Lytechinus pictus: one gene and its partners. The protein of the gene in region 1 purifies or fractionates together with the protein of each later gene. This does not show direct contact. Links are inferred from orthologs where the notes say so. Each region holds a gene or a part of one and is shown in the gene's direction. Other genes may lie near its edges.

Evidence for each region.
Region 2: the proteins of DIS3-like exonuclease 1 (region 1) and exosome complex component MTR3-like purify together in Homo sapiens (affinity purification with mass spectrometry; 3 studies listed by BioGRID and IntAct, with this or other methods). This does not show direct contact. The link is inferred for Lytechinus pictus from reciprocal best matches to the Homo sapiens genes DIS3L and EXOSC6.
Region 3: the proteins of DIS3-like exonuclease 1 (region 1) and M-phase phosphoprotein 6-like purify together in Homo sapiens (affinity purification with mass spectrometry; 3 studies listed by BioGRID and IntAct, with this or other methods). This does not show direct contact. The link is inferred for Lytechinus pictus from reciprocal best matches to the Homo sapiens genes DIS3L and MPHOSPH6.
Region 4: the proteins of DIS3-like exonuclease 1 (region 1) and eukaryotic translation initiation factor 4E type 2-like purify together in Homo sapiens (affinity purification with mass spectrometry; 3 studies listed by BioGRID and IntAct, with this or other methods). This does not show direct contact. The link is inferred for Lytechinus pictus from reciprocal best matches to the Homo sapiens genes DIS3L and EIF4E2.

Annotation. Positions count from the first base shown.
Region 1 is NC_087249.1:24,490,812-24,498,429, reverse strand, and holds the start of DIS3-like exonuclease 1, read left to right. Parts: upstream 1-4,167; 5' UTR 4,168-4,302; intron 4,303-7,618. Other genes in the region: molybdopterin synthase catalytic subunit-like, read left to right, coding at 674-742. UniProt on the Homo sapiens protein: Catalytic component of the RNA exosome complex which has 3'->5' exoribonuclease activity and participates in a multitude of cellular RNA processing and degradation events.
Region 2 is NC_087245.1:11,454,689-11,462,358, reverse strand, and holds the start of exosome complex component MTR3-like, read left to right. Parts: upstream 1-4,136; 5' UTR 4,137-4,385; coding exon 4,386-4,475; intron 4,476-7,670. UniProt on the Homo sapiens protein: Non-catalytic component of the RNA exosome complex which has 3'->5' exoribonuclease activity and participates in a multitude of cellular RNA processing and degradation events.
Region 3 is NC_087246.1:60,406,147-60,413,879, reverse strand, and holds the start of M-phase phosphoprotein 6-like, read left to right. Parts: upstream 1-4,506; 5' UTR 4,507-4,653; coding exon 4,654-4,716; intron 4,717-7,733. Other genes in the region: deoxynucleoside triphosphate triphosphohydrolase SAMHD1-like, read left to right, coding at 10-180. UniProt on the Homo sapiens protein: RNA-binding protein that associates with the RNA exosome complex. Involved in the 3'-processing of the 7S pre-RNA to the mature 5.8S rRNA and play a role in recruiting the RNA exosome complex to pre-rRNA; this function may include C1D.
Region 4 is NC_087260.1:10,323,331-10,331,530, forward strand, and holds the start of eukaryotic translation initiation factor 4E type 2-like, read left to right. Parts: upstream 1-4,695; 5' UTR 4,696-4,797; coding exon 4,798-4,817; intron 4,818-8,200. Other genes in the region: mediator of RNA polymerase II transcription subunit 4-like, read right to left, coding at 741-801, 1,935-2,002. UniProt on the Homo sapiens protein: Recognizes and binds the 7-methylguanosine-containing mRNA cap during an early step in the initiation. Acts as a repressor of translation initiation.

The DNA of each region.
Region 1 (7,618 bases):
TGCAGAAGAAACTAAGTGAGGGCTTTAAAAAAAGAAGGAGAAAACAACATTTCAACAAAAGTTCAGGGTACACTCAAGCACACTATGATCTTAGTGAAACTTCTTAGATGTCTGCAAAAAACTTGTGCTCTTAACTTTTCTTTTCTATTCAATTTTACAACTTGAAATTTTGACAGTATGAAGAAGAATTTCTCCTACAGATAAGGTATTTTAATTTTGCTATACCTTCCCTTGTGACCAATTTTTTTTGTTTTGGGGTGACTGAATTGCCTTAGAATTGATGTATTACAATCCCACGCCTGCATGCATCTCTTCATGATATTACATCAGGTTGCAAGACACCCAAGTCTTACTTTGAATTGTGCAGGTAAATTTAGACTTTAGATTGTTTAAAAATTTTCACTTATATTCTTTATTATTTGTTTAAAGTCTGTAGAATATAATTTAGGATAAATTAAATTTGAGTGTTAAATTCCTTAGCTGAAAGTGACATATATAATCAGTGTATTTCATTTTCTTTCTTTTTTCCCCTCCCACTTATACTGTTTCTGTCTTTTTTTTCTTTTTCATACACCACCATGTGCTTTTATCTCTCATGTATTGTCTCTTTCACCTTTTTTCTCTTTTAATTTCCCTTGTATCTGTTTTCCCATCCTCTAATCTATTTATACAGGAAATATATGAAGAAGGAGATGGATGCTGGAAGGAAAATAAAGAGTGTCCATGGGCCAGCAAATCATGATGTAATAAAACTGTTTTATATGTATTTTTCTTTTTCTATGACGTGTATTTTTTTCTCATTCAATTCTAATTCAAAGGAAACATGTTACAACACTGGCCTGTAATTTTGATGGTTTATGGCCAGGCCACTTTTCTTCAGAACACATTTCTATATAACGCAAATGTGAAAAAGTTCAAAAGGTCACCAAAAATATCTAGGGCTAATAATAAGTGGGGCAATGAAGCCAATTAGTAGCATGCAAGATCATACCTTTAATGGCATTGGAGTAATTTTAATAATTCAAATCCTACTATTACAAAAAATATTTCAATATTACAAGGCCTGAGTCCTTTGGGGGAAATGCCTTTGCTTCCATCACATTAGGTATAATTGAAGGAAAACAAAGACCACAGACTGAATTACAGTACTCTCTTTGATAAGCAGTCTGTAGAAAACCATCACAAAGCTTAATTTTCGAAAAGTTTTCCATCCATTTTTTAAAATGTATTCAATTTGAGAAGAATTTGGATAATCATAAGTGTCTGGTGTGTCAGGATACAGAAAAGTAATGGTGGTTAACATTTTGTAATTTAATGGATACATTTGATGGGTAACACAATACAGATTATGTTTTCATGAACAGGCAAGTTTAATAGAGTCACAGCACCAAACTGTGTTTTTGATAAGTTTGGCTTTGGTTTGATCTGTTCTATTTCCTTTGACTTTTGAATTCTAGAGGGTTAATGTCGGGACTGTCTTGTGTGATCACTGTTACTAAGTTGAAGTCAGTTTTAGAGGGTGCAGATCAATCAAATTTCAAAACATTGATTGCATTTTACTTAACATTTATTTTAATGTTAGTGAATTTTCTTATGGGATCACACTCAAATAACAGGAACAGATTGACAAGTAATAACAAGTGTCATGGCCTGTGTTCACTCATATTTTTCTGGGATCAGTTTATTCATTGATAAGTGCAATAGATAGATTCACAACAGAAATGCCATATCATTCTTGCATAATCTTTTATGTGATTATATGGAGGAGATTATTGAAGTAGAATTTTTTATTTAAAAAAAAAAATAGTTTTATTATTATTTTTTTTTTATATAAAAGTCATGAGTGGGAGAGCAAAAATATATCTAATTGAGGGTTGAGAAACAGGAAGTAACTAATTTGTGTAGATTTGGTAAAAATTGATAAGCACTGCATCTAAAGATTATGAAGGGTATTATTAAAGCCTTTATTACAATGAACTTTCTGTTGCCTGTAAAGCAAAACAACACCTCACCCCATTTCAATAGCTTTGGTAGAAAAATATATACAAAGGCTTACGTAGGTAATAATAAGAAAACACAGTACATGTATTAATTGCCATTGAACTTTCCCATGTAAGCGAAAGATCATTCTTGTGAAGTGATTTGAAGTCGTGTAGATGATTATCAAATATAATTTATGATGTGACACAATGACATTTATAGTGAAGATGTGTTTGTGCCTTAAATAAGTATATTTATTGATCTACTACTTGATTATAAAATTGAGTTTTCAATGAAAATTTATGAATTTTTGTCTTCTTTGTGGATTTTTGTGATTGTGATTCTACTACCCAAGTATAAGGGACCAGGGGGCTTTTTGTAAAGCTGTTGGTAAGTTAAGAGCGACTGGTGATCCTTTTTTGTGGTAAATCAGGGAATAATTTTCCTGGTATCGCATCGCAAATTGCTTCACATTTTTGAAAGACTGCTATGCATAAAATCTTTTGTATAGCATAATTTTACATAGGACTGTACATTACTTAGTTGAGAGCTTTTCTCTTAAAACCAAAAATGCTATTCATATTTGTAAAGCAAAATTATTCCCTGTAAATGATATTCACCATTAAATGTTCGTTGGTGATTATTTAGCGCGTGAGAAAGGTTCACCAGTCGTTCTTAGAGTCACTCTTAACTTACGAACAGCTTTATGAAACGGCCCCCTGATATGTTACTTGAGATGACATGTTGCTCTTTACCAAGAAGAAATTCTGATTAAGATTTAGATGTAAACTTCAGGATATATTGGAAATGTATAACATGTCAGCCTTGTTGGGACAAAACTTTCAGACAAAGTCATTGCCTTGATCTGGCTAGTCCCAAGTCGTGAAAATGTTAAATTACTGAACAGCCTAGCTTGTATGTCAAGATGGGCTTGATAGATGTAAATGCAAAAGTCTCTACTCAGTGTCAGTTCCATTACTTGGGGATAGACCGATTCATGATAATAGAATCTTAATTAGTCTGCTGTTAAATTCTTAGTGCAATTTGACTGTGGAGTCCTTATGCATGGAGAATGGACCAATAGTGGATGAATTACTGAAAGGGGAATAAGTGGGCTTGACTTTGACAACCTCAGTGCTGCCTTGAAGATTTCCCAGACATTTAGGACTACATGTATAGTCCATTCGTTAAAAGAGAAGTTCAACATAAAAGTTTTGGATAAATAGTTGTTTATGAATTAATTTTGTGGAGTCATGCGAGTAAGGGGAGGGGATCAAGGGAGAAGGGCCCAGAAGAAGAGGCCGAGAAGATTGGAGAGCAATCATTAAGATGGAGAACAATTTTCACTCATCCTACAGTCGTTATTTATATGCCCATTTAAAAAAGATACAATACAGGACATAGAATTTTGGAAGACAAATTAGACAATCCATATTTCAGTATTTTTTTGAAGATCGTGTTTAGGGATATTTTTTTGTAGAAAACAGACCATTTGTGCCGAAGCAGGCCTAAGTGTACTATAATTTATGGTAGCATCCTTCCCTGGGCTATATCATTTTTTCAGATTGAGACATGGCGCCAAATATAGTGCTCGTCTCCCGAACTCACCCCACAAGCTACTCCCTTCACTGACTGTCAGTTTCGCCCTCCAAAATTGTATAGTTCAGTGGCTTTGAATCCAGCTATGTTGTCTCTTAAAGGAGAAGTTGACCCTGACAAATGCTTATTGTAAAAATAACTGAAAAAAAAAACATTGTGAAGGTTAGAGGAAAATTCATGAAAGATTAAAAAGTTATCAGTTCAATTTTTTATTTGTGATATTATATGGGAGCAGCTTTCCATGTATCATGAATAAAAAAAACAATGAAATGTCATTTCCTCAAAAAATTGTGAATTGTTTTTATTGTACTTTCAATATATCAACAGACAAATCACCCACTCCCGATGACCCCCCCCCCCAAAAAAAAAATGAAATTCATGCTTTTTATATTACATAACTTGTGGGGCAGCTGCTCATATATGACGTCATAAATAAAAAAATGAAATTCTAATAACCATCTAAATCTTTGATGGATTTTTCTCTAACCTTCACGATTGTGTTTTTATTATTATTATGGTACTTTTTAAACAAACTTTTCTTCAGGGTGAACTTCCCATTAATTTAGCGGTACGGTCAGCCCATTTTTTCTTTAAAATTTGTAATCTTACGGACTCCATGTATTGTAAAACGGGAAAACCAACTAAGCTAACGAAAACGAGTAAAATTCAGGCAATTTCTGACCTAATGACCTCTTTCACTTGCATGATCTGATGCTGTATTTTGTGAGTATTCGAGCTGTCAAAAATATGGATTATTAGTTTTGTAAATATGGTTCCCATGATGAAATAAATGGTCTCAATGCAAGCCGCGCGCGTAGCTCAGGCTCAGCCTCGGGTCGCCGCCGCTTTGCCTATGGCTACTGGCTATACGCTAGTCCTCGATCCTAGATCCTCCAGCTCCAGCGCACACGTATGTTCACGGCCTCAACTCAGTGGAGCGCGCCATTGAAAGGCCTTTTCGCCTAGCAATATTGTTAGCGACGTTTGTAAGCATCACTTTGCTCACTCTCCAAAATGTCTGCGACATTAAAATTCTAAAAACAATGGATTTATTGAATTTTAGTGAGGCTATGAATGTTTATCATTTACATTGACTATCACTTATCAGTGTAACAACATATACCGAATTTACAAGCAAGTGTGGGTAAGACTAGCCTGGAGGCGTCTGGGGAGTGAAAGACATATACTGTACGTATGGTCCCTCCCCTAACGCCTGGGAGCCTAAGCTATATTCCCACACGCACGGGTACAAAACCTGAAACTTTCGCCCCCGAGATTTCTACTTTCCCTCTAAAAGATCTAGCCCTAAAACATGTACATGGAGTTAAACTCCATTCCCAACATTTCTGCGATATTGATTACATTTTTAAAGAAGAATTCATGAAAAAAAACGAGGAAAATGTTATGAAAAGATGAGAGAGCTTACGGCCGTGTTTACGTCGCCATCTTGATTTCTTTGTCTTCCGCTTGGCGACAGCACGCAATCGCGTGCTGATTGCGTGCTGTCGCCAAGCGGAAGACAAAGAAATCAAGATGGCGACGTAAACACGGCCGTAAGCTCTCTCATCTTTTCATAACATTTTCCTCGTTTTTTTTCATGAATTCTTCTTTAAAAATGTAATCAATATCGCAGAAATGTTGGGAATGGAGTTTAACTCCATGTACATGTTTTAGGGCTAGATCTTTTAGAGGGAAAGTAGAAATCTCGGGGGCGAAAGTTTCAGGTTTTGTACCCGTGCGTGTGGGAATATAGCTTAGGCTCCCAGGCGTTAGGGGAGGGACCATACGTACAGTATGGTGAGACTACCACATATCGACCACCTCTTTTGAAACCGACCACCTTGCGCGCGTTAAAATTATTGCGTATTACAAACGATACGCGCGGGAGAGTAGGCGCAGTGTCCATAGAAACGGTAAGAATCGATTTTACGAGAAAAAAAGAAGCAACAAAAAGTAAAAATTTAGTAGAATTAATCAAAATTGTATTGACCAGACCCAATTCCCGCTGAAAAACCAAGAAATCCGATAGGAAACGGCTTTAGAACAAATATCCGTCGTCAATCGTCGAATCATGTGCCGGAGCTCGCAGTGGAAGTAGTGAGACGATCATTTAGCATGTTGACTTTATAGAACTGATTTGGAAGAGTAAAAATATTTCGCCACCGCGACAAGAATCGGCCGTAAACTTAGTGTATCGCGGGTGGTCGGTTTCAAAAGACGGGTGCAAATGAGCAAATGTAAAATCGTCGTATTCGTTGTTCGTCGATATATACGCGGATTGAATCGGAGTCGCCGAGCGAAACATGGGAATCTGATCTGCTCAATTTTCTGCACAAATGGGACTAAAACTGGGTAAAATTGATGAATATTTTCGCAGATACGATGCTGAGAAGATTAGGTGGTCGATAAGGGGTAGTTCCAACCATATATGTCTTTCACTCCCCAGACGCCTCCAGGCTAGGTAAGACTTTGAATTATCAGTCATTTCGATGCAATCCCAAAATTGATGAAAATATAACAGAAATTTGATATAGCATTGCAAAATCCTTATTTTCATATCCCCTTAAATTTTAATTATTTGCAAAAGCATCTTAGTACGTTTCCTAGAATTTTTCACAACTGATAACGGTGGTGGCTTATTGATTCTAGTTTTTTTAAAGAAATGGCAGGCATTTGAAATCAGGTAAATTGTTGTTATATTTTTAAAAGAAAATCGTTAGATTCGAACAACTTACTAATAGTTCTCCAAAAGAAGGGTTATATTCTATTATCTGTGTGTAAATGATACATGACGACAAATTTTACGAGTATATCATTGCATGTTGGATAACCTTTTCCACGATGAGTTTCGTAATTGAGAGAAAAATCAAGTTCATTCCTAGCACGAGAGCCGCAGAATGATAAATTTTAGCGTGCGCACACGGGCTGATCGCCGTGTCTGCGGGGACGGATATCTAGTCCCATACTGGTGTAAGGTGGTATTTTCCACGTACCTTTTCCCCTTGTAATGACCACTTCGCACTTTAATACTTAATTTTGACACTTAATCTGTGAAATTAATGGTTTAACGATTTTGGAAAATGTTCGGAATATACCTAACACATAAATGATTTCATTTTCTAGAATTATTATTTCTTTCCTGAATTACCAAAAGGCAAATTTAGGTCAAGATTGCATACTCACATTGACTGTTTAGCATAGCGCATGCATATCTATTACAATTTCTATTATGTGTGTCTATATTATATAAATTGTCCTGATGTAAATATATGTTATAAAATCATATTGGATACAAAAATCATGACGGGTGTCATGGTCTGAGTTTTCTTTGTGTATAACAAACAAAATACTGCATGATTCCAATTTTATTTGAACATGTCATCGTATGCAACGGCAATTTCAATCAGTTTATAATTTTCTTTTGCTTAGTCAGCGTTTATTTTTCAATGTGCAGAATTGGTTCGCAAGCGGTTTTTACACCAAAGAGCTTGCCAAAGAGCTCATTCCTGGCACTTCGACTAAAGATGGATATGATTATTTTGTTTCTCATGGTTATCCATTTTTAAAAACAATATTTATTTACTGCAGCCAACGAGTTCCTGACACAATTTATTTTTAGACTAAAAACTACATTATGAATGTCCCCCGAGCGGTCTTAAAATAAAAAAGAAATACCCTTTTTCGCAAATGAATCATAGTTGTAGCTGTAAAATTACTTTGTCTTAATTCCTTTTCTCTTAATTTAATATTTTAGTATTTCATTTACATAACCTAAATGAAGGAGGATTCGGAATGATTATTGTCTGATGATTATGGATGTGAAAGGACCCCTCCCCAAAAATAATAATGAGTAAGAATAAATAAATAAATGAATAAATAAATGAAATGAAATTAAATAAAAATAAAAGTCAGTAATCTTTAACAGGATAGTTCGAAAGCTTATTTTCAGTGGGGTCCTCAACACGTATAGAATTGTAATTATAAAAGGTAAAATCTGTTTACACTATAAATATGAATATGAATTACTATTAAAAATAAA
Region 2 (7,670 bases), on another chromosome or scaffold:
TTTTACATTTTTTAGATTGGGATTTTGTTATCTTTTACGCCATTTTTAAGAACTGACAGTGCTGTTAAACTTAAAATTGCAAACAAATAGCATTATAAATAGATTCTCCATTCTAACGATACAATTATTAACTCTCTTGCGAAATTTGATGACTTTTTCATGTATTTTGACTGAGTAATATAGGTTTAAACTCATTATAGTAATCTTGGGCGGTCTAAAAATGCCAAATTCTTTTGAATGCGCAATTCTTAATAACATCAATTTGGGTGAACTTTGAAGCTCTATAGCAAAAAATCAAGCACATGGACCTATGTTAATTTTTGCATATTTCGAATATTAAGGTTCTAAAATATCTATGTGCAAAGTTTGGTGAAAATGACATGGATTTCACTTTAACTGTGGAACGTCCTTAAAATGTCCCTTTTTCTGATCTGAATGTCAAAAATTTTCAGCTTGCGCTTCACGCTCGCATCATTTGGTTAGTGAAATACGCATGGTCTTCGTGAATTCCTACAAGCAGGCCTTATAATGCCCCCTCTTCAGGTCTAAATTTTCAGCTCGCGCTACGCGCTCGCAATATTTGATTAGTGAGATGCGTATGATAATTATGATTACAATTACTACAAAAAATGCGTCATGTGTTTAGATGTAATTCTAACAAAATCAGCATGCGCTTGGCACTCGCATTAGATGACTATGGTGAGATATGTGTACTCTTAATGGATTCCTTAAAAACATAGTCCTTAATATATCCCAGTTTGGGGGTCAATATATACAAAAATTTCAGCTCGCGCTTCGCGCTCGCATCATTTGGTTTGTGAAAAACGTATGATCTTCGTGAATTCCTACAAAGAAGCCTTAAAATGTCCCTCTTTAGGTCTGAATTTCCTAAATTTTCAGCTCGCGCTTCGTGCTCGCAATATTTGATTAGTGAGATGGGTATGTTAATCATGATTACAATGACTACAAGTGCTTCATGTGTTTAGATGTATATTATTCTAACAAAATCAGCAAGCGCTTGGCACTCGCATTAGATGGCTATGGTGAAATATGTATACTCTTAATAGATTCCTAGAATATAGTCCTTAAAATGTCCCTGTTTGGGGTTCAATATATACAAAAATTTCAGCTCGCGCTTCGCGCTCGCATTGTTTGTTTAGCGAGACAGGTACTTATTATGATTACAAAAATTTGCTTATAATGTCCCTTTTTAGGTCTGACTTTCAAAAAATTTCAGCTCGCGCTTCGCATTATGTGATCAGTGAGATACATATCCGTTTAATGGCACTGTCCTTAAAATGTCTCTATTATGTCAACTGGTAACCGAGCGCGCTTTGCGCGCTCTCTAAGTGACTCAATTTTTTTGCTGGTACCCCCCAATGCCGTGACCCACGGTACGCCACTGATAGAGATTATGCTATAGATTGTGTTATCCATCGTCTAAATAAGATAATTAATAACAACAAAAATATTTATCTACTACCTACTGAAGTCCTAAGTAAAGGAAGTCTTGTGCGGTAAAGGACAATGAAACCATTAAAGCAAATTAGCTCGTGTAAAAGCATGAAAATCAAAGAAGGATCAACGAAGCTGAGCCAAACTGGTCAAGAACAACATATTTGAATGTCATGATCACTAGTGCTAATCGTGTCGTACATCCAGGACCCTTGGGACGATTTTTAATAGGGGTTTGGAAAAAAACAAGCAAAAAAAAAAAAAAAGGGGGGGGGGGTGATTCGCTGCAAAATTAGTGATTTCAATGTTCACATTGTAACGTATACGAATCTGATTTCCAGGGGGTCGTGCTGCCTATGTTGTATACCATACGCAGTACATGTACCTTCAACAAAAATCTGGCTTGTGTCATCACATCGTATTGTCGCGTCGGGTCGGGTTTTCACGAAGCCGGACGATTTGAGAAAAGCTAGGCCCCTAAATTTCCGAAAAGTTAGAGTCCAATTACCCGACCATTCGAGAAAAGTGCATCCTTATTTCCCAAAAAGGTCAGGTCCAGTTTACCCGATATTTTGTGAAAATTATAGTAAAATTCTAAAGTGGTCGGGTGAACTGGACCCGACTATTCGGGAATTTAGGTGGCCCTCACCTTTTCTCGAATTGCCCGACCGACGTGATAACTGGATCTGTGATGGAACAAGCGCAAAAGGGAGCAAACTGTCATTTCCAGGAGAAAGCTAGAAGAACATAATACACGTTTGGAACTTTTTTTTTCACTTTAGGTGCAAGAATGCACCCATCAAAAGAAAGTGCTTCTTTTTTTCTTAGTGTACATGATAAGCTCACGAATGATAGGTCCCATCATATTCCTCCCATTGAAATTAAGTTACAACTATATATTTCCTCTATACTTCTCATTTATTTGTAATTTAATAAATATGCATTATTGTTGTCGGATTTAAAATAATAATAGACAGTTCTTGTATATAGCGCATATCACATTATGAATAAAGACTGTATGCCCGTCCAAATGACTTGAATATTATTACCCCGGCTGTAGTTCATGCAGCCTTCCAGCGATCAGGGCATTTCGAGGAATAAATTCCTGCCAGGTACCTATTCACCTCACCTGGGTTGAGTGCAGCACAATGTGGATAAATTTCTTGCTGAAGGAAACTACGCCATGGCTGGGATTTGAACCCACGGTCACGACCCTCTGTTTCAAAGTCCGGAGACTAATCCACTGGGCCACATTGCTCCACCTATGTGAAATAAATTTCAAACAATGATAGGCCTAATGAAAATGAATTAAATGAAGTAAGCCTATACGATAAGTAAAAAAATTCCATATTTCTAGACCACTATTTCTGTCGAATAGCATATGTTTTTAATTGTGCATTTTGAAATCCTACATCTATACAATTAAGGGATAACGACATAGTTTACACTTTATGTACAGACATTGAAAGTATTATATAAATAATATTGCTGAAACAAAAATAATCGCTGGTTGAAATTAACTTAGATGAACATAGAATTGACGGGCGAGCGCAGTAAGTAAGCAAAAATAAAATCCCCATGATTTTCCTATGCTGAGAACAACCTAGACGATACTCAATGGCATTCATCTATTCTGTTCAGAGTTAGACAATGTCACAAATGACCTCTACTATCCAAAGATTTTTTTTAATGGAGAAGTTTGTTTTAGGCCTACTTATTTACATCAGACACTCACAAAATAACAAGAAGGTCTCGAAAATCGCTTTCGTCTCTCAATCTCTTTCTCTCACTTATAATTTCATTTATACTATTTATTATTTATAATTATTAATATTGTATCATAATCACTTTGTCTAAAGTTACTGTCACTCATTCGTTAAAACGTTTACATTCTGTAAAGTTTCCGTCCCCCCCCCCCAATGTTGCTGTATATGTATACTCGTTTTGCAAAATAACTGAAACCATAAGTTACAGGGCTTGCCTCTCATACCAGCATGGCATTTCTTGGTGTGTCCTCCGTTCTATTTCATTTACTTATCAGCCAAAATCATTTTAGTTCACCTCAATTCAGTTCATGATTTCTTCTATTTTATGTATCATAAATTATGATATTGAACGGAAAGTGAATAAAACTATCTCTAAATCTAAATATTCCAATAACCGATTTCAAAAGTGAATATCTCAATACCTGGATATCATGGAATGCATCACGAGCACATAAAAATGAGATATTCTATTCATCCGCTTTTTTTAGCCAATGAGGCTCGAAAATTAGAAAAGTCTAAAGTGAGTGTTGCTTCGGGTGAAATAATCCTCTAAGAATATAATGTCAGTAGAATCTAGATTTTCTTACAAATGATATATATTTTCACATATTCAATTTTTCTCTCCAAACTGTTCATTAGCATATTAATAACTCTCAAAGCTTTTAAGGACTTTTAGATGACTGCAATGCACTTACAATCAAAATGGCATTTTTTTCATTTTTGAATGAAGATGGGGAGAAAGAATATAAAAAGCGGAAGAAGAAGAGGAGGGAGAGGAAGAAGAAGAAGATGCTTCAGTTTTGATGAATTAAATAAGCATGCATGCATACAGTGCCCTTGATTCTGGACAAACGGCAATACAGTTGCAATTTTTCGCCAGGCCTAAAACTTAGGACCAAAGTGTTGTTCCGGGTCACAAATTTTCGATAAAGACCTCCCATGTTCTCTGTCATTTGACGGGCATATTTAATACATTTACTTTGTTTTTGAATCCTCCGCACATCGCTCATATTATGAGCGAAATGCTTTTGGTGTTTTCCCTATTATTTTGCTCAGCTAACTTTACCATATCACTGCACCCACGATCCTGAAATTTTAAACGAGGTTGACGAAGCTAAGCACTTTTTCCAAATTTAATATAAATTTGAGACATAACTGTTAAAAATGCCGACTGACACCAAGCGCATTCAAGGACCAGATGAATCGCAAAGCACCTTTTTGTATAAGAAACGGACTGATAAACTGCATCAACCGGTAAGTAGAGATCAAGAATCCCTTTCTATTGACTATTCTAACGTCACGGAACCGCTCATCTTCATTAATCATTGGCCGTGACTGCCGGCGTGGGTAACCATCGGAGTCGTGGTGAATTTTCAGTGCAGTTGCAGTTCGCCGCGCCGCAAAACTAATAGGCCTACTAATAGTAAACTTAAAGTAAGGAAACACCCGTTGTTAAACATTTGATAATGATATAATTGAAGAAATTACAGGGAAGCCAATTACAGTCTACAGATTTCAAGCACTCTGCAATTATTCATGGCAATGTCGGACTCGGAATGAAAAAAAAGAGAGCTAGAAATAGAATAGCTAGATTAGAAAGTAAAAAAGGGGCCTAAGCTTTCGATCCTAGCAGAATCTTCGTCGGAGGCAAAATGACAAACATATAAAGTGGAACAACCATAATATAGACCACAAACAAGCTACAGCAACACTAGAAACAAGGAGACAAAAGGCCGGGGCATTAGTGAGTAGAGAAGACCAATCGGGTTAGTGAAGGGGATGAAAGAAAAGGAGTAGGCAGACACAAAGGGAAGTTAGTGTAAGTAAGGCCAGTAAAAGACCTCAAGCCAGGAGGGATTAAAATAATGAGGCAGGCAACATCAAACAGGATCTGGAACAAAACAGTGATAATGGGATGAAAAACAAGAGAATTAGTGAGAGGTGGGTCAAACAGGTTACAAAGAAAGGCTTAATAAACTGGTGCATAAGAGTGGGGGAAAAAAAAGAAAAAGAATGGGGAACAACTGATAATGTGCAAAAGACATATAAGTATATATGATAAAGCATTAAACAAACTAAGAGAAGAAGGTAAGTGTAAATATGTATCTATAAGTGATATGTATATAAATATATCCAAAAAAGAAATGTATATGAAAAAATATATAAATACACATATGGTGTAACTGATATTGTAATCCGCTAGGTGTGACGGGAAAAAAACATAAGACTATATAGTAGGAAAAAAAACAAACAAAAAAACCTGTATATGTGAAAAAGAGGAAGCAAATTGCCTAAAAAGGTAAAAGCAAATATAGAAGAGAGGGGGTGTATTATGAAGAAACCATAGTATACATGTAAATAAGCAAATGTGGTAAATCTAAAAGAGGTGAGTGGAGAAAAAACAAATATATATATATATATATATAATAATTATTATTATATCGCCTGAATAAGGAAGGAAAAATTGGAGCTGAGCTTGTATGAGATATGGGAGGAAAGTAGAGTAAGAAACTATAATGTAACTATTCAAAAGAGCTGAGGGGAAAAATTATATGTATATATAAATTGAAAGTGGATAGGAAAGAAAAATCAGTCGTTCCCCTCTTGGATGTTCAGGCCATGAGGTTGGGTGGTGCGAAGTCGTTTCATCCAGAGCTTCTCCCTGCTAGTACGGACTGAGTCAGGACGGGTACCTAAAGATTCGATGCCCTGTAGCATCATGTCAGTGATGGAGTGGTTGGGGAGGTTAAAATGGCGGCCAACTGGAGTGTCCAGCTTTGCTGTGTTGACGGTGGATCTGTGCCCATAGAATCGTTTCTTGAGTGTGGTCTTGGTTTCCCCTATGTATTGTACCCTACAAACTCTGCAAGTGATGAGATATACAACATTAGTGGTAGTGCATGTGATGTTGCCCTTGATTTGGTGAGACAGGCTGGTAGAGTTGCTGGTGAAAGTATCGCCCTCGTGAAGGTGTATTTCACATATGATGCACCTGTTGCTGGTGCATTTGAAGGTGCCATGCTGTATGGGAGAAGAATGGTTAGTGAGGGAGGGCACTTCAGCACGAACAATGAGGTCCCTGAGATTCGGTGGGCGTCGGTATGCTAGAAGGGGAGTATCGGGAACGGCCTGTTGGAGACGATCAGAAGTGTGTAAAATGTGGTGGAATAGCTAGATGATAGATCTAACTCTAAGTTGATCATGAATTTGATGAAATGAATAATTTTTTTAATTTTGGTAGCCAAGTCTTATAAAGTCCAAGGCCAAGTAGACCAAAAAGCTTCAGTCTCTGTATTTGGTTGTTCTGCTGAACTGCGTGGCTTCTCACCAATACATAGACTGAAGTCAATGGAGGCCTGTACGTAAAGCTGTAACTTTTACTTTAGCAGTAACGTTAGATCTAACAAGTAACATTCGGCAAAAAACCGATTTTCAGATCGTTTTTGTACATAAAATATCCCATTTACAAAGAAGAAATTTTACATCCAACTTGACAAAGAAATATATAACATTAAGAAATGTAATACTTCAGACCGCAGTTACCGCTAATTCCCTTCAATTGATAAAAACATAGTCATCCTCGATCCTTTCGTTGGTCATCGTAAATTGCCATCTTGAATGACGTCATCATCCTTACAGACGTCTTTACCAGTCGCCATATATCATGATTTATGCCGCTGCATAACGCTTCTCGGAATTTGTCGCTCCCATATCGAAAAGTCTAATCGGATAGCTTTGATAAAAGACTATCTCAACGAACGTTTTCCCTCTCCGGCAAAAAATTTGTAAAAATAAGGAATAAATCATCAGCAACATATATTTTCTATCTTTTATTTCATATTTCGTAGTATCGAAAGAAAGATTAGAGTCTAACGAAAATAGTGCGCAATCGTTCAAGATAATGTAATATCATTTAGACCTCAAGAAAATAAAAATATAGACAAAACAATATAGGCCCGAATTGGGAGAAATGATTACACATGAGAGCTCGCACTTACGTACTTCCGTTGGTGAATGGGGATGATAGTAAAATGTCAGAAATTGTTGAATAAATCCCCAGAAACAACAGTTATTCCTGTCTAAGCCCAAGGCAGGAGCACTATGATATTTCTACATGTATGATAGACCTAGATCTATTTGTCTTTTCATCAAGGAGCCTAGACACTGGCCCTAAAGACCTGTGTGTCGAACGTGGTAAACAATGATGGAGTTTCCTAAAAAATCCACCACATTAATTTTGGAAAAACGCGGAATAAATCAGGTTTTGAAGCCTTTAGTAGGACCACAAAATTTAGAAAGCTCTGAATTTGTAAAAAAAAAAAACACAAAAATAATCTTCAAGTCCTAAAACATGATAAAAATTACTTAAAAGTTACAAATGTTCCCTATAACTTCTGAAAAAGTAGCAAAATAGATCAAGTTTATGTGCCAAAAATACATATGGTACCT
Region 3 (7,733 bases), on another chromosome or scaffold:
TCAAAATAGGTTTCCTGGATCATTCCGAAGAAATTTCAGGAGCGTTACGTACGTCTCTACTGCAGGAAACCCGAACAAGCGCCCAAGGCGACGGAACGATTCAAAGATTGGTGTAAGAAGAAAAACTTCCCCAAAGTTAGGGAAACCTTGGATAAGGTCCAGTCTTACTTGGGAATATGATCACGTTGGAAAGGAACCGAGGAACTGTACTACACGAAATTATAACTACAATATGTCTCCTGTCATAGGCTTATTCCAATTATTATATGAATATATATGCTTGTGTGTTTGTATCATGATGAAAAAAATCGGAAACATGCATGTATACCAATTTCGGTTTCAAAATATTATTGTCATTTGATCTATATTCTAAAAGAATTAGGAATGATTAGAATCAAACTGTGAACATTTAATTTGTCAAAAATCATGTGATATGAAGTTTGAAAAGGGTATTGCCTATCATTCATTCATTCATTGCCCATTTTCTTTTCTCATACGTTATCAATACACTATTTCATTAAACACTCACCATAAATGTTAGTCAAATTTCAGATGATTACCCGATGGATATTTTCATGAACGGGAGGGGGGGGCAATATTAAACTATTCTCAATCTGTTACGTGTCATTTTACTTCTGATAGCCTATCACAAGTAGATCGAGGCTCTGTAATGCAAATGTTTGCAATCAATCACTAAATAATCAATCAAAATCGCTAGTGCATGCCCATTTTTCATTCTAGGAAGTAGTTGAGATAAATAGGAAGACGACATGTGGTTGTAACATATAGTAATTTCATCATCAGTACACAAAATATAAACCCCTCAAAAAAAGTTTGGAAATCTGTGTTTGGCCATCAATTTCTCCCAACTCCCAATTTAACACAATGCATATTTAACATCATTCAAAAGATCATTTAATTCTTTTTAAAATGATACCATGCTTGTTATGATCATGCCATCACGAAAAGAACAGAATTCAAAAGTGTTGGATGAGGTCTGAATTGAAAAGCTGCAAAACGAGCAAAAAAAGTTTGGAAATCTGTGTTTGGCCATTAATTTCTCCCAACTCCCAATTTTACAATGCATATTTTACATCATTCAAAAGATCATTTAATTCTCTTTAAAATGATTCCATGCTTGTTATGATCGGTCAATACACATGATACAGAACATTATTCTTTTGTCTGCGTCAATAGAGATGAAAATCCTTTCAAATCAAGCCCCTGCTTCTGTAGTGATGGTTCTGTGAGATAACATGGTTTGAGTCGTGGTTTGAAATACCCATGCATGTTTGTTTGTTATGTGTTTGCTTGTGCAGAGGTGTGTTTGATTCCATGTTAATGTTGATGTTAAGGTGCATGAAAACAATTAAACATGTTAAAAGAAACCGCTGAGAAACTCACTCATCACCACTGAAAAAAAGAACAGTGACTTTCAATATTGTGTCATTTTGCAACTTTTGAATTCTTACCTTGCCCCACATTTCAATGCATTGCAACTCCATGTGAACCATAATCATATCATGTAGGGTATCATTTTAAAGAAAATTAAATGATCTATTCATTAATATTAATTACACATTGATATTTACTAATACCGATCAAAGTCAAAAGAAACCGCTGAGAAACTCACTCATCACCACGGATAAAAGAACAGTAAAGTTCAATATTGTGTCATTTTGCAACTTTTAAATTTTGAACTTGCCCCACATTTCAAGGCACTGCACCTCCATGTGAACCATAATCATATCATGTAGGGTATCATTTTAAAGAAAATTAAATGTCCCATTCGTTGATATTAATTAAACATTGTTATTTATTAAATCCGAGGAGGGATTATCGATCAAAGTCAGATTTCCAAACTTTTTTTGAGGAGTTTAGTATTTGGTCATTTTGCCTCCGACGAAGATTCTGCTAGGATCGAAAGCTTAGGCCCGTTTTTGACTTTCGAGTTTAGTATTTATCAGTTCACCTCTTTGAATTCACGTTTTCAACAGGAGCTTTTTTATATATGATAATGCGAATGTGTCATTTAAAAGTTTTGTCATTTTTAATCAAGTATATAATGTCATTTACCCAGAGAAATGTTGTCAAGCTGAGTTAAAGTATAAGCGTGGCCGAAATTCATATAAATTTTGATGGCGTTGGACTTCTTACATGCATGATGGAGGATGATGTACAACTACATTCAACTTTATCGAATTTGCATGTTTATTTTTAGAATAAACGTGCGTTTGCGTACATTTCATTTTATATACTGTATAATCCAATTTATTCGTATTATACTCAAATTCATTCCTTAGTAGTTTTAAAATCTTTATTTATCAGGATTTATCATTGTTATGAACATTACACATGTCATGAATTTATGGCCTTTCAATCGATAGAATTTGAAAATTATATTCCGTTATGTTTATGAGTATGGTAAACGTTTATGAAAATTTGGAATATGTTTTCCTTAACAACTGCATTATCTTATTTTTTTAAAGAATGTTTAATAGATTATGGGTCTAACTTGAATATTCAGTTATAATTATGCGTTAATTTTTGCGGAATTTTGAATATGTTATAGCTGAGGCAATTTATGATATTTGATGGGTGTAGTACAGGTGTAATTTTTTTTTTATAATCGACTCTACATGGTCTAATTACTGTGGTACGTACATACATAAATTATTTCGCTACTTTTGTTAGAATATGGTACATTTTCATGCAGTATAATGTTATTGATCAATTGATGAGTTTACACTTCCCTCAATATGAAAAGAAAATATGTTTAGTAAGGTACCATCAAGATCATGTTGCATAGTGTATAACAGTAAAATCATGATAATAGAGAATTTATATCGTTGATTTTATCAGAAAAGAGTGCATTTTCAAGTAATATCATGTCATTATAAATCCAGGGGTACGAGGGGGCCAGTCATCATCCATTAGGGCAAGTCCCCTCTCCCGACCCGAAAAAAGGAAGTTTGGATTTCGTAGAATGGGTTCGACTCTGCAAAATAGATAGTTCGCTAATAGCTCGCCGTAAAACATGTAAATTCCGGCTGATGGCAGGCCGCATTCACTTATTGATGTCGATTATCTTGTTAACATTTTGGGGTTACAGAATGCCCGACAATTAAAATCATTGCAAAAAAGTTGTACATTTTAAAATTTACCTGTTGTGGTAAAGAGGTGAATCATGGGGGAAGATGGTATGTGTGTGCATGTAATTGTGAATGCGTGCATGATCGCTGTATCCCCCCCCCCAAAAAAAAAAAAAAAAAAATAATAATAATAATAAATAAAAATAAATAAAATTGATAAATAAGTAAGTAAATGAGTTAATTAAATTAAATAAATTAAATAAAATAAGGAAGTAAAAAAAGAAAACAAAGCAAAACAATATCGAGCGACATATTTGAATGTGTGGTCATTAGCAAAACAATAAGGCGCCTATTCAACTCGATGACAGTGACCCTGCTTAATTTAACTTTAGAGACACCCCTTCCCCCGTTTTCTTTTAATAACGACACATATAATTTTTTTTTTATTTGATATTGGTATTTGGTATTATTTGTCTTTCAATTTGGAAACAAAAAGTCATGAAAATGATGAAAATTGATATAGGGATTCTCCGGGCTGAAAATAATATGATTTAAACAGATTTCTAGGCATTTCGTCATGGATTTTCAATGAGCAAATTAATGATGTCATATCCCTACTTGTTTTTTTGTATTTTATTAGATGAAATCAGGTTTATTCAATTTTTTTCTACCAAGAACTGAAAAAATTGGATTGATAACTGATTTAGTGCATGATATTGATATATTCATTGCTGCAACTTATTTCATTATAAAGGAGACACATTATTCACACATTTCATGTATGAAAAAAATTAAACAATTATGATTTCATGTTATAACGTAAGAAAAGGCAAAGTGGGGATGTGACATCATTAGTCCATCTAATGAATATTCATGATGCGTGCATATTGCTAAATTTTAAAATTCAATAACTTTGTTATTCATAATCCGATTTTGATGAAATTTTCAGCATTTTGCTTTGTAAATTTTACTCTAATTATTTAATATATAAATGTTTTCAGCCCGGAGTATCCCTTTATTAGAAGTTCAATGAACAAACGAAAATGCATGTTTAGCTTTTTTTAATTTTAATTATTATTATTATTACTTATTATTATTATTATTATCATCAGGGGCCGCGGAACGGTTTTCAAAGTGGGGGGGGGGGGGCTGAGCCAAAAGTGAGGGGGCTGACCATGCAAAAAATCACTATCATATGGTCATTTTACGTTTTTGTACACGGTTTTGGAAAAAAAGTGGGGGCCGGATTGAAGCAATCCCCCCCAGCCCCCCCCCCCCCCCCCCCGCTTCCGCGGCCACTGATAATTATTATTATTATTGTTATTAATTTTATCATTTATTATCATTTTTAAATTTGTGTTATTTTTTTTTATTTGATAATCAAAATATTATACGACTCTCATCACCCCTGGGCATGGACGTCCCTGCTAACTAAGTGCATTTTTATTTTTATTTTTTTTTCTTCTCCAGTGTCGTATTTTCCAATTCTAGTTTGCTTCATGAAAACGAATGCCTGTATGCGTGGTTTTAGAGGTAAAACAGTGTTGCTTTCCTTGTCAAAATGGCCGGAACGAGAGGGCAAAGCAAAAATATTAGACTTTCTAAGAACCTATCTCAGATGAAGGTAATAATATTTTGAGCGTATTATTTTTGTGGGATACAATGCTTTACTGTAAAATGGGTTTTATTGTGAAGATGATAGTAAAGAAATGCTGGGCGTAGTCCCATACCATATTTTCTGTGTAGGGTTGAATTTTTAAACGCAGTGAATAATTGCAGGAATATTAATTATTATTGTTCGATCTAGGCCTACTGCATTTGCATTAATACTATATAGTAGCCTAGCCCTAGGCTTAGTCCACTTATTCAATGAACAAGGTCATGATATAACGGCCTTATCCTGAAATAAGTCACCTCTTCTCGTGAGTGTCGGTGTGTGTGTGCGCTCGTTGTGTACAAAGTCAATGGGAAATGAGATCACCGCTGCTGACGAAATGAACGGCAGTGAATGGAGTGGTGACCTAAACCAGGATAATGCAAATATAACCTTGTTCTCTGTTAGTACTCCATGGCATGTGTTGCAAAATAAGGTTGGCAATGTTTGGCTTATTTTCTCTTTTTCTTTGGAACAAATGCTTGATTGTTTGACACTGTCTTGTCTTGTCTTTCCGTTAAACGGAGTTCAGTGGCCTGTTGCATGACGAGATGAGCGATACGTAGGAACGTCCTAGGACCATTCTTCCGAGATAGGAAGATTGGCGACAAATCAGCGCTTTCCGTTTCACGAAGGCAATTTTGTCTTTCAAGTCCGCGACATCGTTTGATATCGATAGTATCGGAAAAATATTTAGTCTTCATCGTCACCTGAACCTTTTATTTCGGAATGACGACTTTTCATAAAATCATATATTTCAATAAAAGGGGATCAAATAATGTTTTATTTATTACTGATTGTAGAATTGATGTATGGAGCGTACTTTATGAGGTAAAAAGAGAAAAAACTTTCAAGATTCACAAACATAACTGGATAAAATCGAAATTTTCATTATTTCCCTTATTTAGAACACGGTGTCCTTTTAGAGACACCTTTCATTGATATTTCAACGAAAGAGACCCTTGTCCGACATAAAAATTGATTTAACTAAGTAATTTCGACATTTTATTAGTTCAATATACTGATTTTTTATAGAATACATATATACAATGATAATTTTGCAAATTATGCGTTAATTGTTGAGGTTAAAAATTGGGTTTGAATGGAGTAAACAAAATCAACAGTGTCTGATTGTATGAGACTAAAAAGGAAAATATGAGAGGCTGCCTGTGAAAAATCTAATTTATTTATTTTATTTGTCAGATAAAACGCAAGAAATACAAATGTGAGTGTTTAGAGTACAAACATACCTCAATTGCATGATGAGTAACCGAAGACAAGGAAAATATGAAAATTGCTGCAAACATGTCTAAGTGGATAAAGTAGTGCTTTGCAATAACAATTAAAACATAGAAAAAGGTGTGCAATCCGCAATGGAAAAAATACTATTTACAGAAATAATGCTAAATATTACAATGATCATAAACGTTGGTCATCTTTAAAGTTGATTACTTAATTTATGGAAGCTTATATAAGAATATAAGTTTTAAGAATATAAAAAATATATATTTAACATTTCAAAGTTGAGGAGTAGAGAAGCTTTAACATTACTTAGGGGCCGAAAGGGGCCTATATGTACCCTACGATTTAAAATGCGCCTCTTCGTATGGACTTTCCAGATTTTTTTCTTTAATGAACTAGCTAGCTTATCTTCATTTGTAATAATTGTGATGGATTCGTAATATAGCTATACTCCTAATCTGTATCTTAAATTCAATTAGCTATTTTGCTACTGCAGTTTTTTTGTTTTGTTTCACTGTTTCACATCTCAAGTTAGCCCAATTAAAAATCCGACAATTAATTTTCATTGATTAATATCAATCTCAGCAAAAAAAAATAATTATAATGAAAATGAAATAAAAATAAATGAATGATTTACCATGTTTAACATTTTAGTTTTGTATCCTTTTTTTTTGCTGAACGTTATAAACACGTTTTTTACTTTACACAATTTCTTTTAAAGAAATTTGTTTTCATGTTGTTTAATTATCTATAATGAGAAAGCATGAGGGGTCAAAGAGATAGTGCCGCCCATTTCGATATTTCAAAAAAAAATTACGGTAATGGAAATGGTGTGGGGATAGGACGGAGAATAAAAGCAAACATATTTTAAAAAAATATTTGGGCCTACATTACCCCCGGACATAATGCCCGGAGAAGTTAAAATGACATCTGTTTTTGGTCGTCTTGCCGTGCAAAAAGACGACCTGAAATTGATGACAACTAGCTAGCCCCCATATAAAAAATAACTTGGCGCCATCCCAGATAAAATGCATCAGTGTGCAACCCCAAAAAATGTTTAAAGGTGATATGTCAGTGTGCATGGCTTGCCGTAAACGCATTTTCTCTCAATGCCGACGGTGGCGGGCGGTGTGCAAAGAAGATCATGCCTACGAAGGACATGTCTGGAGGTGTCTTTCCAAGGACCATTCTTCGTATCGCCCAAATCGGCTTTGTGAAACAGTTGAGCGATATCTCGTTCTTACGTAGAATGGTTCTACGAAAGACCCTTTCATGCAACAGGCCCCAGCTGAACAACCAACATAACAGAGACCGAAGCTTTTGGTCTAGAGTCCTATATGTACAGTACATGACATAGCCTGGATGGAGGCTTCTGGAGAGTAAAAGTACTAGTATTAGTTTTATTACTACTGACGTAGGCTTACTCTCCATGAAGCCTGGGTCGGCATACCATTGCTCTACATGCACCGACGAATTGGCCAAAATACTTGTTATTTTTATTTTTTAGCCTATACTTGTGTACATGGGCTACAATATTGGTTGGCAACTTTTGGCCAATTTGTTGCCCAATTCGTCGGTGCGTGTAGAGCAATGGTATGCTGACCCAGGCTTCATGGAGAGTAAGCCTACGTCAGTAGCACTACTTTTACTCTCCAAAAGCCTCTAGGCTATATGTACGCGGGACCAACATTTGCGTCCTTTTCGATGGACGGAGTGTTTTTCTACTGCATTCACACCGGCACTGC
Region 4 (8,200 bases), on another chromosome or scaffold:
ATATAGACTGTAGAATTGCATTTCATTGGTGTAAAATGTGACTTTGACTGAGATTTTCAAAGTTCTGTGGAAGATTTCTCAGCAGCAACATTTTTTATCGCAGCTCCCCGAATCTGAGTAGGCTGAGCTAGATCTAGAGCACAGCTGTATTCAGTGGCTTCATGCAAAGCTCACGCCAGCCGGCCGGCGCGGTTGGCTGGATAATAGCTGCTGTATGCTATAGCTGTAGGCCTAATATGCAAACTTTGTGTGTGTGTATTTGTGTGTAGATCAACAAAAAGGGCGCATGACGAACTGGCTTGCAATTTGAGCTGTAGAAAGTTGATAAATGCGTGCAAAATTGGGAGAAAAATTGCGCTACTTTGAAAATTATTGGTTGCCCGATTCGGGCCACCAAAACTTAACATTTTATCAATAATGGTTGCCCGAGGTGAATTTTTGGTGGCCCTGGGCCACCGGGCCACCGCTAATGTCGAGCCTTGCATATCGATACAAATACCAAAACATACATCCATAAAATGATGGTTTGGTGACCCAGGAAAAGGCATAGCTTATAAAAAGGGGCCAAGTTAAAATACACACTGAAAATATGATATTTACACTATAAAGTATATTGACACAACAACAACAAAAAAACAATAATTAGAATTTTCTGTTGATCCATTATTTTTGTTTTGTTAGATTTTGCTTTGTTTTTCAATTCTTAGCTTAATGTCACACAGTCATTAAGAAGAACTTACTTGAGGTTCATCAGGATGAGGAACTCTTTGCCTAACTGCTGATGTCGCCTCACCGAGGTCTCTGTGTAAAAAACAAAAACAAAAACACAAATTAATATTTTTCAAGAGCTCCTTTACAGATAAGTTTGCAATTCTGACAGTATTAGAAAGAAAAAAAATACAGTATGTTCTGTAAGTGTAATGTTGTGGTCTATGACTGAGTTAGACCAAAAGCTTCGGTCTCTGTTATGTTGGTTGTTCAGCTGAACTCCGTTGGCTTCACTCACCAAATACAGAGACCGAAGTTCTAGCGCGATCTGTACAGGGGACTCAATGGCCATATGTTTATGTACTTAAGATCGGATAAAACGGGGAAGTGAATTTGCGCGACAGCCGAGGTAAGTCACTGTTTTTGTTCCTTTTAACTCGATTTTTCACCGTTTCTTGGCAATTAATGCCAAGAGGGAATATCAATTTGCATTTTGGTCGCATTAATTTTCAAAATGTTTATTGATTAAAGACAAAAATTGAAGAGCCCCGACGGGGGGATTTTGCATTGCAAGTCCCCTAATGGTGGCTGCACGCTAGCGAGCCGTCTGTGTATGAGGAGAACTTAAAAAAAAAAAATGTTAAAAAACTCCTCAAAACAGACGGCTGCCAGCTGTCTATGACTGAGTACGACTTATGAGCATGCAATAAAGTGAGATGTATGCCAACAAAATATCCCTCTTTCCCACCGTTTATCCCTCCTTTCCATTGTTTCTTTTTCTTTCTGTCTCTCCTCTTTGCTCTAGGCCTAGTCTTACTTCCCCATTTCATTTTGACTTTACTTTTTCTATTGCCCCTTTTGTTTTATTCTTCTTGGGTTCTCACCCCTTTTCCTCTTTTTCTGTTATTATTCATTTCTATTTCATTTCGTGCACTTTCTCTTTTACTCGTAGAATCTAATGCTCTGTTTTTCTTTCCTTTCCTCTCATCTTCATGGTATATCAATCCCCAGCAAAGTAGTAGCGCTGCCGCTGGCTCCCTCCTCCAATCGCGGCTGCCTGGCTTGGGCTGGCCGAGGGCCGAGGGCGAGGCGAGAGTCGTTCAACATCTGAACAAGGCCAAGCCCAAGTTGTCATTACAAGAGTTAGGTAAGAGAGAACCAAAATCGTTCATCAAATGTATTCATCACATCACCAAAAATACACAGTATAATCAAATTTATCTCACTTTGTTAACACTTCTGCTTCTTCCACAAGAGAAAGAAGTCTTGATTTTGCCGTCATGGAAGCCGCCATCTTGCTTTCGTCGTGACAGAAGTGAACGTAGATGGTGCTCGACTACTTTATAGATTTGGCAAAAACTTGTGAGTGAAAATGTACCGTATGTAATACATATATTTGCCCCTTGATTTGCCCCCACCACGGGGGGAAAGGCAATCTTTCAATAAAGTTCAAAGAAAAATAAAAACAAAAGAAGAAGACCAAAAAAGAATACTAGATGAAGCTTCATCCTCCATTTTTTCACCATCTGTTTTGGGTTTTTTTTTTCTTTTAATTATTATCATTTTTTTTTGCATGATTAGCCGAGCCCCCTCGATCCCTTTTCAAGACCCGTCATGCCCATGCATTAAATCATATATTACATTTTTTTTTAAGAAGGCGATATCCAAGGTGCGGAATAAATGTTATTTATCATCAAAACTATATAATAATAATACTTTACGCTCTTTCGTGATACAAGGTCAAGCCCGGCCATGCAGTGGCGACGTGAACCCAAAATTTTGAGAAGGCCAGATATGGCATATTGGGAAATTTTTTTTTTTTGCGAGCGAGTGAAGCGAGCGAGCAAAATTTTTGACACCTTTTCACATAAATCCAAATTTGTGATAGATTTTGACATAATATTCAGAAAATAATATCTTTCACCCAGCTCTTTTTCCTTTCTTTTTCTCTTGGTCTGACAAAAGGCTCCCCCCCCCCCCATTTGTATAGGCCCTTCGTACATCACTGGTCAAGCCGGTCTATAATATACTCTTTTTTCTTTTTTAGGTGATTTTTTACGGATTTTCAGTCAAATTTGACTATTTAAGCCGAATTTATTTTCCCTCATATAAAACTACGCAAAAATAAGTTCACAATGGTGACCGGCTAGGAGATTCAATCAAAATTCATAACGTAAGAAATATGAACTATTAACATGAAAATTGTTTAAAGGGGAAGTTCACCCTAAAAATTATAAAAATATTGGTGAAGGTTTGAGGAAAATCCATCAAAGGTTAAGAAAGTTATAATATTTAATTAGAGTTTTTTTTATTTTTTTGGGTCATATATGAGCAGCTGCCCCATTATAAAATGCATAAATTTTAAATTTGCAGTGGTTCATGATGACTCATTAATTGTTTGATTTCTTTCAGGAGTGGGTGTGACATATTTTTTTTGATTGGTATAGGCCTATACTGATCGAAGGTACAATAAAAACCATTTTCAATTTTATGAGAAAATGAATTTCCATTGTTTGTTTGCTTTTTTACCATACGATATGTGGAAGCTGCTCGCGTATGACGTCACAAATCCAAAAATTGAAATTCTAGTAAATTAAAAAAAAGTTCTTTTAGGGTTTTTCCTCAAACCTTCACCAATGTTTTTTTTATATTATTTCTGCTATTTTTACAACTTTTGTCAGGGTGAACTTTCCCTAATCAGCGGTGGTGAGGTGGTGAGGATTATTTTTCCCCATTGCTAATTTAGCATGAACATGCTTTTAATCGCCTGTTGTCAGTTGTTTTTTCTCTCTCTCGTTGGCCCTATGTATGATTCATTAATACATTTTTTTTCAATGTTAATATTTTTGGTGATTTTGCTTTTTTTTATTCTTGCATTTATACAAGCCACGTTTCTTGGTCTCTTTTACATTTCTTTTCTTTGTTTTTAAGCATACATTCATACATGTACTTTTGAAAATGTTTTATCTATCTTTGATATTTATTTATTGTATTTTTTGCAGTGTTATTGCCAATTAGCAAGTGTCAGCTCATTTTTTTATGATTGATTTTTATTTATTTATGTAATTGATAGGCCTATGTATTTATGAAGGTCTATTTCTGATTTGTGTGTTGAAAAATGGATATAGAAATGAAATAAACCACTGAAAAGAATTAAATTCTATTTACCATTTTTATGTTTTTGTTGTTGCTGCATATTATGGTCTATACGATATAATAATTTTGTATAGGCCCTACACATTTTCGGTATGTTGTTGGTATTGGTGGCATTCAGTTGCTGAGAACAGATTATAGGCGAATTTTTCTTCCTGATTTCTTTTTGTTTGACAATGAATCATATAACGACACATAAATATAATGAAACATACTCAATATCTGTATTTTTTTTTCTTGTCATTATAACCTTTTTTTCGGATATAGATCACCACGAGGGATCGGGGATATTTGCTCTTACCTTTTAAGCTTATAACATCAGACACGATTTTTTTTTAAACTTAATTACTTAAAAATGTTCATCTTGAGAAATCACATGGGATTGGGATTGATTTTTAAAAAATACATGTATATTTCATCAATAAAAAAGGGTATATTTATCGATCTAATTGCATCGAATGATCTCGAAGTCTAATCTAGCTGGGCCAGTTCATTTTAAAGGAAAGCTCTCTCTTGCTTTCATTGTTATTATTATTATTATTATTAGGCCTAGTAGATCTAGAGGTCTAGATCCGTCGCGTCCACATTGATTTTTGGTATAAATTTATACATAAATTGGATATGAATGTACCCAAATTAGACGAACCACCCTCTCTGAACAGTGAACACTTCCGGTAAACAATAATAATAAAAAAAACCCTAAAAATTATAGCCCCCACCGGCCCGGCTGGCTGGGCCCCCTCCTGCCCGGCGCCCCCGACCGGCGGCGCGGCCGCGCCGCGCCGGCCGCCGCGCCGGCAAAAAAACCGATAGTATACTTATCGATATCGATATCGTGAACGTGCGTGGATCATTCTGTATGACTTGGAATTCAGAAGATTACGAGATTTCAACCGTGAATTATCTGCATTTAGACCTCAACAAGGGGACCTAGAGATGAATAACCAATTTGACATGTAAGAATACTAATTATTTAGTGCAGTTTATATGATTTTGGATGTAACGTCTGTTATATTCTACAGCTGGTTTCAAATGCCAGTCCCACCTATTCATTTTTATGTTTTATTTAGCCTATTTATTGGGCGCGAATGCAGTTTCGCACCAGCGGACTTCGAGAGAATTCCCTCACCAGTAATTGTTCACAAATGTCATAGCAAGTCATAGTAAGCCCACCGCTTTTCAGAATATCGAGATAGGGAATCCCTGTATTTTGGTTGGATCTCGACCTAAGTTACTGTCCTAAGCCACTCACACTAATACTTAATAGTAATACGAGGTTCGTATATATATACGAACCTCGTACACCGGACCTTGTTTGACCGTAGATTTTGAAGTAGTCGGCAAACATTGCTTCATTGCTGAAGTAATATTTGCCGAAACTCCTTCTCGCTACGCACCGGGGCTCTTTCCGGTAAGTAGCAATACATAACAAAATTATACATATGATATTGAACTCATTTCATTTAAAAAGAGCAAATTTCGCTTACCTCGGCCTAGCAAGTGACTTCGTTTGTCTCTTCTACGGAAATACAAGGAAGCCCGTTGGTGGCGCTAATAAATTTCACAACCTTGATTCAGCTCCTCGGTAATTTTATAACTGTGTCTAAATTCTTTGAATGCGCAATTCTTATGATTAATTTACTAATTATGGGCACCAATAAATAAAATACCTTCAAAAACATAATTCAGGATTACTATTGGCGATGATAACACTTTTGTTGCAATTAATTTAAAGCGATGACTAATATAATTTTTATTTTTTTTAATACACATGCCTGGAACGAAACCAGCAGTACAAGCAGTATTAACGAACGTCATGGTATACCAAAGTCTATACAATGAAAAGATTGGACACTTCACGGAATTCGCGTAATGCCTTGCGTCGATTTGCGTATAAAATAGTGTAGGTTCCTAATCTTTCCCTTGTCGTGTCTTTGATATGAATATAAATCGCGCGCCCTCTTTAGGCGAAAATTGATATCTACGCTGACCAAATTTTATCTCCGTGAAATCTTCACTAAAGATCAAGAAAATATACATATTTTTAAGAAAAAACTTCAAGGAGAAGTCACGGAAGGATCTAAATGATTCGGTAAGTGTCATAGCAGAATGTGAAATACCAGATTATTGGTGATATTTTATGTGGGCAAAAGCCCACTATCTTTTTGACTTGTCGTGTGTGTCGCGTGCATATGACTGATATTCCTTCGCACGCGAGATGATATGAACCCATGGGTGGACCTAAGCCTGCTTCATTGTTGTTGAATTCTCGTCTCATTCTCAGCTCAGCCTCAGTCAGATTCGGTCAGACTCAGACATTGCTTTGCTTGGAAATGGAAGCGCCATACCGTGTAAAACTATAAATTTTGATATGCCTATGGCTATGCTATGCCTAAGGACTGAAGTTAGCGACCAAAAGCAAGTGATGTCTGACTGAAAATTCGACAATCACCTCGACATCCAACCAAAATACAGCCGTTCCTGCTGATCGCGATATTCGGAAAAGCGATGGGCATATGAATTATGATCTGCCTTGTGCCTGTACTATGTAGAAAAATGTGATTGAGAGACTTCCTAACTAAGTTCCTAATGACATTTGCGAACAATTGCTGGTTGGAAAATTCTCTCGTAGTCGGCCAATACGAAATTGCATTAATGCCAATTGTGTGCACCAATTCAAAGTGTTTTATTTTTTTTAAACTTGTTTGTGCAAGTCGAGACTATTGTAATATTATTGACATCAGACTTTTGTAGATGTTGCCAGGTCAAATTATGCCCAGCACACACTTTCATTAACATGCCAGACCTGGCCAGGTTTTATCCCCCCCCCCCCCAAAAAAAAAACCTGTTGCTGTGCTTGCTCTGCACATGTCCTGGAACTTTGCATTGAAGTGAAGTGTCCTGGCACAAAATTCAGCTCAGCATCACTCATCAGGCCTAAGTTTTCTTATTGGGAACTCAGCTTGTCCCAGATACATTTATACCAAGAACAAGAGAAAGTAAGCCAAACATTGCCAACCCTATTTTTCCCACACATGGGAGTCCTAACAGAGGACAAGGTTATTATTGATTAGTCATATTTGACTATTGTTGCCACTGATTGTTGCCATTGACTTTAAAAAAATCTCATTTTTCACAATAATATTATTACTAATTTATGTTGTGCATCCTTTCAATGTAAAAAAGGTTATAATTTCACAAAGAAGTTAATAAATGATTACCGTAAGTAACGGACTATAAACCGCACCCGTGGATTAACCGCACCCCCAACTTCGGACTAAAAAAAAAAAATCCTCACATTGTATTTGAAGTACGAAGAAACAAAAACTAAGTTAAAGATTTCAAAGTATCCAAAGAGATTACCTGTATGCGGAAATCTGCTGTTCTTGATCAATTCATCTACAAATGTTAGCAAGAAAGGAAGGTCCCGACAATATTGGCCACCTACACACTCACTCACCTCACAGTCACAGTGTACACACACACAGCACTGCCGTTCTTGTACATTGCAAACTACGATACGGTACCAGTACATCTTATCAAATAATGATCTGTGTCTTTCCCGGCGTAGGAGGCAGAAACAATCACATTTCTTGCATCACAAACTCACAATCACTTTCAGAATTTGTCTAGCATTCAATGTCTTAGCATGAATTTTGGATACGGGATTACAGGAAGGTTCAAGAAACAAAGAAATTGGCATTTTTTACAGTTGTTTTAAGGCTTAGTGTCTTCTCTCTCGTGCGTGGTGTACATGGTATCTTATGAAAAGCAAATGGGAAAGAAAAAATAAGCTGGCGCGAAACGGGACTTTGGAGGGGATCGAGGGTTAAAATGAATAGCGCCAGCTTAAGTCGCACTATAACTGACCACAATACAACGCAAGCTAGCTCAGCGCAGCTCTGACCACAATACAACAAAAGCTAGCTCAGCGCAGCTCACTCAACTCTCGCGCTCGCTCAGCTGTGGCAAAATATTACTGAGTATGCTTGGCGTCTCTTTGAAAGGGAATTTCGCTGCTTTGAACCGAGAATAAAGTCGAAATTAGTGTCATGAAGGTGGGTGCGTTTGTTATGGACAATATTTGAGAAGATCGTAATAATCGCTTCTCATTAACCACGGCTCATACCCCTCTAAACGACATTGCCCTGGGCGACTACGCCCGGGCACTCGATGTGTTGTGAACTGGCAGACGTCTTACATGTTCGGGAGGGGTTACGACGGGCTGGCTCAGACCCGTCACCGTGGATAAACCGCACCCACGACTTTTGCTTCTATCCCGCTAAGAAAAAGGTGCGGTTAATAGAACGTTACTTACCGTAGTAATTCTTTTGTCTAC